Linked DNA regions of Sus scrofa. The protein of the gene in region 2 purifies or fractionates together with the protein of the main gene of each other region. This does not show direct contact. Links are inferred from orthologs where the notes say so. Each region holds a gene or a part of one and is shown on either strand. Other genes may lie near its edges.

Region 1 (4,222 bases), on a different chromosome or scaffold from region 2:
TTGGAGGAAAAATGCATGCAAGGTGGTTGGGGGAGTCCTGGGGGCTGGACTCTGGCAGGAGGGAGGGGGCAGGGAGTGGCCCCAGGAGGCACGCCCCATGCCCGCGCTTCTCTGCCAACAGCGCCCATGTTGGATGAATCGGTTATCATCCAGCTGGTGGAGATGGGCTTCCCGATGGACGCCTGCCGCAAAGCCGTCTACTACACGGGCAACAGCGGGGCCGAGGCCGCCATGAACTGGGTCATGTCGCACATGGACGATCCAGGTAGGCTGGGGTGGGGAGCTGGGTGGGGCGGGGCCGCTGCACGCCCCACACACTTCAACCCCTTCACGTCCACAGATTTCGCGAACCCTCTCATCCTGCCTGGCTCCAGCGGGCCCGGCTCCACAAGCGCAGCAGCTGACCCCCCACCAGAGGACTGCGTGACCACCATTGTCTCCATGGGCTTCTCCCGGGACCAGGCCCTGAAAGCTCTGCGGGCCACGGTATAGCCTGCCCCCAGCCGAGCTCAGTCCTGTGGGAAGGAGAGGGTGGGAGCAAGCTTCTATCCCTCGTGAGCAAGACCAAGGATGACCCACGTAACGGGTCTGAGGAGCTAAAGATGCTAAAGGAGCCGAGGCCGGAGTTCCCGTCGTGGCGCAGTGGTTAACGAATCTGACTAGGAACCATGAGGTTGCGGGTTCGATCCCTGGCCTTGCTCAGTGGGTGAAGGATCTGGTGTTGCCGTGAGCTCTGGTGTGGGTCGCAGATGCGGCTCGGTTCCTGCACTGCTGTGGCTGTGGTGTAGGCCAGCAGCCACAGCTCCGATTAGACCCCTATCCTGGGAACCGCCACATGCTGTGGGTGCAGCCCTAGAAAAGGCTAAAAAAAGAAAGAAAAAAAAAAGATAAAGAAGCTGAGGCCTTCCCTGGCAGCCTTCTCCAGCCTGACAGTGCTAGAAAAAGTGACTCTTCTCTCTTTTCTAAGAACAATAGTTTAGAACGGGCTGTGGACTGGATCTTCAGTCACATTGATGACCTGGACGCAGAGGCTGCCATGGACATCTCGGAGGGCCGCTCCGCTGCCGACTCCATCTCCGAGTCCATACCAGTGGGACCTAAAGTCCGGGATGGTCCTGGAAGTGAGTGTCCCCTGAAACCAGAACAGGCCTGGTGGGATCTAGCCCGTTGGCTCCACCAGGTCTGCTTCCCTGGGGTGGTGGGAGGAGGCGGACAGGGGGCAGAAGCTTCTTTCCACCAGCTCGACTCCTGGAGGTGGGTTCCTAGGACGAGAGAGAGCCTCTGGGCCCAGTGCATGCCTCCAGTTCCCTGAAATCCCGTCCTGTGTGTGAGCTGTGGGGTCCAGCCGCCCTCCCTCTCTGCCCTCTCTCCCCCCCTTCCCTAGAGTATCAGCTCTTCGCCTTCATTAGTCACATGGGCACGTCAACCATGTGTGGTCACTATGTCTGCCACATCAAGAAGGAAGGCAGGTGAGGGGCCAGCACGTGCGTTTTTGAATGGGAGCGTGATGGTGGGAATGGTAGGGGCATCCTGGAAGTCCTCAGATTATGTGTGAGGGAAGGTAAAGGGTTGCTGGTGGGGCCGCAAACTCAGCGGAAACAGAGAAAGCCTCACGGCAGGGATTGGCCAACAAGGGCCCAGAGGCTGAATTCGGCCACTCACTTTTATAAAGTCCTACTGAGAGTTCCCATTGTGGCTCAGTGGGTTAAGAACCCGACTAACATCCATGAGCATGCGGGTTCTATCCAGGGCCTCGCTCAGTGGGTTAAGGATCCGGCGTTACTGCAATCTGCTTGATGCGTGTAGTTCGCAGGCAGGGCTCAGATCTGGTGTTACTGTGGCTGTGGCACAGGCCGGCGGCCACGGCTCCAATTTGGTCCCTAGCCTGGGAATCTCCGTATGCTTGCAGGTGCAGCCGTAAAAAGAAAAAGTCTTGGTGAGCACAGCCAATTACCCACTTATCTATCTGTGGCTCTCTTCGAGTTGCCACAGGAAAGTCAAGTAGTTGTATCAGAGACCAGATGGCCTGCAAAACCCGAAACATATCCTGTCTGATCCCTGCCTAATAGGAACGGGTGGCAAGTGGCTATAAAGACACCACAGGGTCTGAAAGCCCTGAGTCCAGTCGCAATGACCCTGTGAGATTGGGATGCTCCCTTCAGATAGGCAGCTGGACTGTAGGTTTGGGGACCCAGGCAGAGAATGTTGGGAGCCTTTGCCCGGGAATCACCAGGAGCCACCTCCAAGAGAGGAGCTGTTCATCCTTTTCCCCCCACATTCTTCCCCAGATGGGTGATCTACAACGACCAGAAAGTGTGTGCCTCTGAGAAGCCGCCCAAGGACCTGGGCTACATCTACTTCTACCAGAGAGTGGCCAGCTAAGAGCCCACCCTGAGCCCTTAACCACTGAGGGCAGGGGACAGACCACCCGGCATGAGGGATGGATGTCAGCCCCCCTGCTCCCGTACCCTTTTCCTTTTCGTGTCCCCAGCAGCAGGGAAGAAGCTAGAGGCTATGAGAGAATGGCCAAGCGAAGTGGGGGGGGCACTCTGGAGACTTTGGGGATGGAGCAGGAAGGGGAACGGGAGGGGCCGGCTGCCTGTCTGTGAGGAGACTGTTGCTTTCCTGCCCTTGACCCCACAGGGCTCTGCTTCTCTGTGATCCTGCTGGCCCAGCGTGGAGCGGGCTCGTTTGTTTGTGTGGCGTGGGTATAGCTTTGTGCAGCCTCTTCCACAGGAGGGGGCTTCTGTGCCTCCCCTCCCCCGTTGTGTGTGCTCCCCGTGTGGTTGGGCAAGGAGGGATCTGAGGGAAATGGGGACCCCCCTCGCCCTCCTGCCTCAGTCTTTTCCCCACCCTGTCTCTCCCCTGTCCTTCTGGAAAATGCCAAAATACAGGATGTGAATAAAAGTACAGTGGCTCAGTTGTGTCCTGTTTGATACCTTTGGGGGAAGCTGTCTTCCCCAGGGCTAGCAGCGGGGCCAGTTTCACAAAGCTCCTGGCCCTGCCCCTTTGCCTTCTATGTTTTGTGCTGGTGTGATTGGGGGCTGAGTGAGGTGAGCTCTGGGGCAGCAGAGGAAGGCTGCGGGGTGGGGGCTGTTAGATGAGGGGATGTGGGCTGGGGTGTCACAGAACAGAGATGGGGTGGAAGAGCCCTTTCTTGCAGCCGTGATACCGGAGGGGGCCCAGGTGGGTTCTTTCCAAATGTCCCCAGTGGCTGTAGTCCTTTGTCAGGCCTTGGCCTGCTGGAGCAAAAAGCGGGGTATTCATGGGGACAGGGCGGACTTCTGAACCCCCCTCCCTTAGCTGCACAGTTTCTAGCCAAGGTGGGCCATCCCTCCGCTGCTGAACCCTGTTTTTTGCCCAGTTACTGTGGGGCTGGGTCGGCCCCGGGTGGGTCAGAGGTGTCCGCTCAGCACTCAGGGATGTGGGGGCTCCGATGGGGAAGGAGGCTCCTTTTCCCAGAGCTGGAGAGAGGCCCCTCCCCTATCCCTCGGTGTGGGGGTGGCGTGATGAAGCCGTGAAGCGGGGGTTTCCCTGAGCACCGGGCGCACGGTTCTCCCCAAAGTCAGACCACGGAAGCTGTAGCCACCGAGCCTGGACGCCGCTGGAACGTTGCTACAAGAAAGAAGGTGACGTCAGAACCTCGCAACGCGGGCGGCGGCGAGCGGCAGCGGGCGGTGGCGGGCGGCGGGCGGCGGGCGGGGCCGGGGCTGGGCTTCCGCGGGGCGGGCCAGTCATGGCCCAGGACGCGAAGGGGGCGGGGTTCTGCCTCTCCGCTCTCTATATAAGCGGCCAGTGGAGACGGCCGCGCGCTGCTCCTGACCTTCAGTGTGCTGGCTCCAGCGCCATGGCGCCCGCTAGGAAGTTCTTCGTGGGGGGAAACTGGAAGATGAACGGGCGAAAGAACAATCTGGGGGAGCTCATCAACACCCTCAACGCAGCCAAGCTGCCGGCCGACACCGGTGAGCCCTGGCGGTGGGTGGGAGGTCGGGCGTGGTGGCGCCCTCTCCCGAGCTCTCTCAGCAGTTGTCTGCGTGGTCCTGCTTGCAGGGCCGGAGACCAGAGTTACTGGGGTCCCGGCCTTGGCCCTGCGGCCGCAGGACCAGGGGTGTGTCCACGGGGAAAGGCGGAGCCGCATCTCCCTGTGCCCTCCGACTGTGGGAGGAAGACGGCTCCGGGGTGCGGACCGGGGCTGCACCCGCCCGAGCCGGGGATGGAAGTG
Region 2 (5,421 bases):
TATTTTTTTTTGGGGGGGGGGAATGCAGTTTATTTCTCCCTAGATGGGTTTCCCGAGGAATTGTTGCTTAGGGTGACGGTGAGGAGGCCCAATTCTCTGGTTGGGATTTTTGTTTGCTTATTTTTACCAGGGCAATGATGCCTCAACTTCTTCAAAAACGGAAAACTTTGGGGAGAGGAAATTTGGAGAGATCATAATTTACATTTACCCTGAAAATGACTAATTTTGAGAAGGGACTGGCCTCGCGCCTCACAAAACAGCCTGTGTTTCACTCTAAATTCCTGCCTCCCTATTTCTCTAGGACTCCTTCCTCTGGAGTAAAGGATGCCTTTTATACCTCTAACACAGTGTTGGGCCCAGTTAAACTGTACACTAAGAAACTGAGTACAGAATCAAAAAAAAAAATGCAGTTTATTATTGTAGATTATTCTTTCTCTTGATATAACCAGAATTGAAAATGAAAGAAAAGCACATAGGAACATCACGCGTGGTTAGTTAGTAACTCAAGATATAAAACAATTTTGCACAGCAAAATATGTAAAAGAAAGGTAACTGACAAGATTTTTTTATATTTATTGTGGTAAGATTTACTTTTCATTTTGTTTTTAAAGACAGGATGTCAGTCCCTGAAAATAACATTTACTGATTATTGCCTTGAAAACTGTGGATTTTTTTTTAAGTTACAGAAAATCCAGTTCTGCACCACAATACAACTGTAAAAAAATCTGCATCATCTTAAAACTGTGCAGTAATGCCATTTTTATAACTGCATAAATTTTATTAGCGTTCTAAACAGTTTTGCAAATTTTTTTGTATTATATGCTTGCAGGTTATATCTTAGTGCAATTCAGTCCCAAATACTTTAATTTTGAAAAAAAAAAACCCATACATTTTGAATGTAAAATACCCCTACAGATATAAACAGGGGTGCTTCCCCTTTTAATACTTTGGTTTTCAATACAGTCAGTGGTATAGCAAAGACTACACATACCCAACTTATATTTAAGTTGCAAGCACATGCTGTATAAGCTACTTTTTTTTTAAACAGTCCCCTTGCAAACTCTACCCCCCTTAACATCACAACAGTAAACAATTTAGTGCATCAATCTTTTAAAAAATCTACAGCTAAACAGACCTAACTCTTTCAAATTTATCTATAACATTCCTTTATCTGTAGCATACATTTTAACTGGGCTAACAGATTATAAAAACTAGAATTAAATTATATACTAGAAACCCATAGCATTCCACATTTGACAATGACCAAAAGCCAAAAAAAAAAGTAAAATTAAAAAAAAAAAAACCAAACCAAAAATAACGGGGAAGATTTCTTTTTTTAAAAAATAAATTTGAGACTGCTTTAGGCAACAGCACAATTTTAGTCCCCCAAATGGGGTGTCATTCTTATTAAAAAGAAAACATTAAGAGTTCTTTAATGTTCGCCATGTTAAATTTTTAACCCATTCTGGCATCTTTGACAAGGAATGCCTTCAGTGCATTTACAACGGGAGGCTGAAGTTCTGAGTAACGCAAAGCAGTTTTGGAGCAGATGCAAACTTTCATGGGAAGAAGGCTCTACGGTTGCACTTTTTTGTTCTGAACTCAAAAAAGTCATGAGGCAATAAAACAAAAGTATGAATGCCATGCCATAAGTCTTCGAACGTCCATTTCCAAGCCAAAAGGAAAAAAAAAGAAAAAAATAATTATACCATACATGTCCAGCATGCAGGCTTTTTTTTTCTTATTAATATAATGTCTCTTTTCCATAAAGTCTTTGAAACAGTTATAGTTCATTGTTGCTAAGACAAAGTAGCAAGCATAATAATGCATGAGATGAGAATGAGTTTTTTAATGGCAGACTGAACTCTCAGATTTGGCATCATAAGGCCAAAACTCACAAGTCACACCCAGAAGGTTGATGCAGGCTTGATTGTGGCAGGTTCATGAGGATTTTTTTTTCTCTATTTTAGCATAACAATGCTAAAAAAAACCCCGATGGAACTCAGCACGCTGCGAGTCTATAACATTTCACATTTTTTTTTTCCTTTGCAAGCTCAATCTCATATGAAGAACTCAGGAGGAGAAAAAAAAAACTTAGCTTTTCTTTTTTTTTTTTCTTTCTTTTTTTTTTTAAATCTCAGAGGAGATGAGTGGAGAGGGAGTGAGGGTGGAAGGTGGGGGGGAGGGGAGGGCAACACAGCAAGCTCCAAAAAGTCAAATTAAAAAAAAAAAATCCAAACAAAACACACACACAGAAAATGAACACCAGCTCATGAACTGAAGAAGAAGAAAAAAAAAATATGAAGGATGCAGGCTTCAAAGGTGAGTATGAGGAACTCTGCCGAGATTTCTGAACATTGTGCAAGTTGGGGGGGGGGTAAAAAAAACAAAAACAAAAACAATCTAGCAAGTTATGGAGAATTTCAGATTGGCAATCCATGAGCCAAACAACCAGCCCCTCCCCGACTGAAAAACAGCCACCACCACCAACTCTGAGCAGGGTGTGTGTGTGTGTGTGCGTGCGTGTGTGTGTGTGTGTGTGTGTGTGTGTGTGTGCAGGGGGCAACTGCGGGGCGGGGGGCAAGCTCAGGAGGGGAGGGGGCGAGGTGGTGGCGAGCAAGGCTCTGGAACTGGCAAGCCCACACCCGAGTCGGACCCCCATGGAGCACTTATCAAGGTGGCTAGCTGGGATCGCGTGTCAGACTCACATGAAAAACTCGGGAGAGGACGGGTTGTCGCTGCTCGAGCCGTTTTCTCGGAAGCCGCTGCTCACCAACTTCTCGTATTTCTCCTTGTACGCGTCCCTCTCGCGCACCAGCCTGGAGATCTCCTGCTTGAGGTGGTCGACCTGCTGCAGCAGCTGGTTCTTCTCGGACTCCAGGACGTGCCTCTGCTGCACCCTCTTGAAGCGGCAGGACTGGGCATAGCCGCGGTTTTTCAGGGTCCGCCTCTTCTGCTTCAGCCGGATCACCTCCTCCTTGCTGACCCCGCGCAGCTGCCGGTTCAGCTCGCGCACCGACATGGTCACCAGCTGCTCATCGGAGAAGCGGTCGTCGAAGTGCAGGCCGCCGGCGGCGTGGTGCGGGTGCAGGGCGCCCCCCGCCCCCGCCGCTCCGCCGCCGCCTCCGCCGCCGCCGCCGCCGCCGCCGCCCCCGGCGCTGGCCGGGCCGCCGCTGCCCGCGCCGCCCGCGCCACCGGCCGAGGCGGACGCGCTGCCCGCGGCGCCGGGCGCGCCGGCCGTCGGGTGGTGGTGGTGGCCAGCGGCGTGGTGGTGGTGGTGGTGGTGGTAGTGCGGGCCCGCGCCGCTCTGCGCAGCGGCCGCGGCGATCACGGCGGACACCACGGCGGCGGCGGGGCCCATCTCCTCGCCGCTGCCGCCCAGGGAGGCGCCGGCGCCGGCCCCGGCCGCCGAGGCCAGCTGCTGCGCCCCGCGCGCGTAGCCATCGAAGCCGCCCTGGAGCTGGTGGCTGTTGCTGATGAGCGCCTCGACCGCGTCCTCGGGGCTGAAGCCCAGCGCCTCGGGGTTCAGCTGCTGCGGATAGCCGGTCATCCAGTAGTAGTCTTCCAGGTGCGCCTTCTGCTCGCTGCCCGAGCCCGGGCTGGGCGCCGAGAAGCTGGGGGAAGGGGGCACCGAGCTGCACGGCGTGCTCATGGGGGTGGAGGACAGCGAGCCCCCGGCGATGAGACGGCCGCACTGGCTGATGATGCGGTCGGTCTCCACCGGTTCCTTTTTCACTTCAAACTTCATCAGATCGAAGTCATTAACATATTCCATGGCCAGGGGACTGGTGGGCAGGTCGGAGTTGCTCATTGCCAGTTCTGATGCCATTCTCCTGCCGCCGCCGCCGCCGCCGCTCCGCCAGATGGGCTGCAGGAGAGGGGCCAGCGGGCTGTGCTGGGTGGCCAGCGGGTGAGCCAGCTTGCCGGGCTGGGGCGCTTCTAGCTCGCGCGGCGGTGGCTGGCCCGAAACCTCCGAGCGCGCACACACCCCCCCGCCCTGCCCGCGCCCCCGCGCCCGCCCTCCCTCCCCCTGCTCACGCCAATGTGCTCGCTGCTCGCCCGGGCCCCTCCTCGCCTGCTCGTCTCCTAGCGCGCCGAGCCGGCGGCTTCAGGCTCGGGAAGGTCCTCCGCGGGTTGCGGTGGCGGCGGCGGCGGCGGCGGCGGCGAAGCCGGAGGAGCCCGGCCGGGTGCGCGGCGTCCCCCGCTCGCCGCTCCGCTGCGCCCTTTGCATAAGGAGGGCTCGCCTCGCCGGCCTGGGCTGCAGGCGGGGCGCGCGCGGCGGCCGCTCGGGGCTGGAAGCGCGGCGGGCGGCTGTCCGGGCGGCGCTGGCCTTGGCACGGGGGAGTTAACACTTCATGCTTCTCGCCTCCTCTTCAGCCTGGCTCTTTTTATTTTTTTTTTCTCTTTCTTTCCTCTCTCTCTCTCTCTCTCTCTTTCTCTCTCTCTCCCTCGCGCTCTTCCTCCCTCCGTGCAAAGTGCAAGACAGAGGTGCAGCCGGGCTGGAGGAAAGGGAGGGGGGAGTTGAGTTCTTTCTTGGCTTTTTTTTTTTTTTTTTTTTTTAAAGCAAAATAGCGAAGTCCCGGGGAAAGGCGAGGCGGAGAGCAAAAGGGGGGAGGCCGAGCCGACGAGCAGCCCGAGCTACAGCTCGAAGATGAAAAAAAGATTTTAAAGCCTCTGATCCAGCAAGAAGAGTTTAAAGCAATTGCTGAGTTTTATAGCACTTGTGACGTCAGGCCCAAATGGGAAATTGACTGGTACTCCAGACCAATGGGAGGCGGCCGCGATTAGCATAATAGTGTAGAGACAAGGAAACTTTTCGGAGCTGTCAATCAGGGCCCAATCAGCTGACTGTCAGCTGGGACGGGCAGCCTTAACCCTTCCCGCTCCGCAGCCTCCTCAGGAGGCTGCAGAGCCGGGAACAAAGTTTGGTGTAAGAGGGGAAGGAGTTTTCCAGCGGCGCTGTGGGAAACCAGGTGGACCGGGAGGCCGATTTGCTTTACTTTGGAGCGAGAGAGGCCTGCCTTCCGGAGCCCCAGCTTGCCTGCCACTCCCTCAGCGGAGATTGGCCTGACCCCCACTCTCTGGATCCTGTATTCGCCAGGCAGCTTCTTCTCTTTACTCCACCTTCGGCACCCGGGTGTCCACCCAGGGGACCTTCCTTCCCCGAGCCTGGCACTGCCCGGAGCTCAAACTTGACCCAAACTCTTTGTCCCTCTTCCCGGAGCCGGCGCGTGGGGGTGCAGGGGTCCCGACTGCGCGCAGGACGTCGCCCGGCCGAGCGCCTGCCAGGGCGATTCGGAGTGGCGGAGACAGAAAGCCCGTTTTATCACACCCTCTTTTAAAGAAGGTGAAATAAGTTGTTCGGGGCCATTCCAAGCAGGGGCCTGCTGGCGACGCGTGCCCTTGGGGGGAAAGAACTCC

The links.
Region 1: the proteins of MAF (region 2) and USP5 purify together in Homo sapiens (affinity purification with western blotting; 3 studies listed by BioGRID, with this or other methods). This does not show direct contact. The link is inferred for Sus scrofa from reciprocal best matches to the Homo sapiens genes MAF and USP5.

Annotation. Positions count from the first base shown.
Region 1 is NC_010447.5:63,842,440-63,846,661, reverse strand, and holds the end of USP5 (ubiquitin carboxyl-terminal hydrolase 5), read left to right. Parts: intron 1-121; coding exon 122-486; intron 487-967; coding exon 968-1,121; exon of another isoform or gene 1,122-1,384; coding exon 1,385-1,469; intron 1,470-2,288; coding exon 2,289-2,382; 3' UTR 2,383-2,920; downstream 2,921-4,222. UniProt on the Homo sapiens protein: Deubiquitinating enzyme that participates in a wide range of cellular processes by specifically cleaving isopeptide bonds between ubiquitin and substrate proteins or ubiquitin itself.
Region 2 is NC_010448.4:8,467,190-8,472,610, reverse strand, and holds the start of MAF (transcription factor Maf), read right to left. Parts: upstream 3,876-5,421; 5' UTR 3,830-3,875; coding exon 2,709-3,829; intron 1-2,708.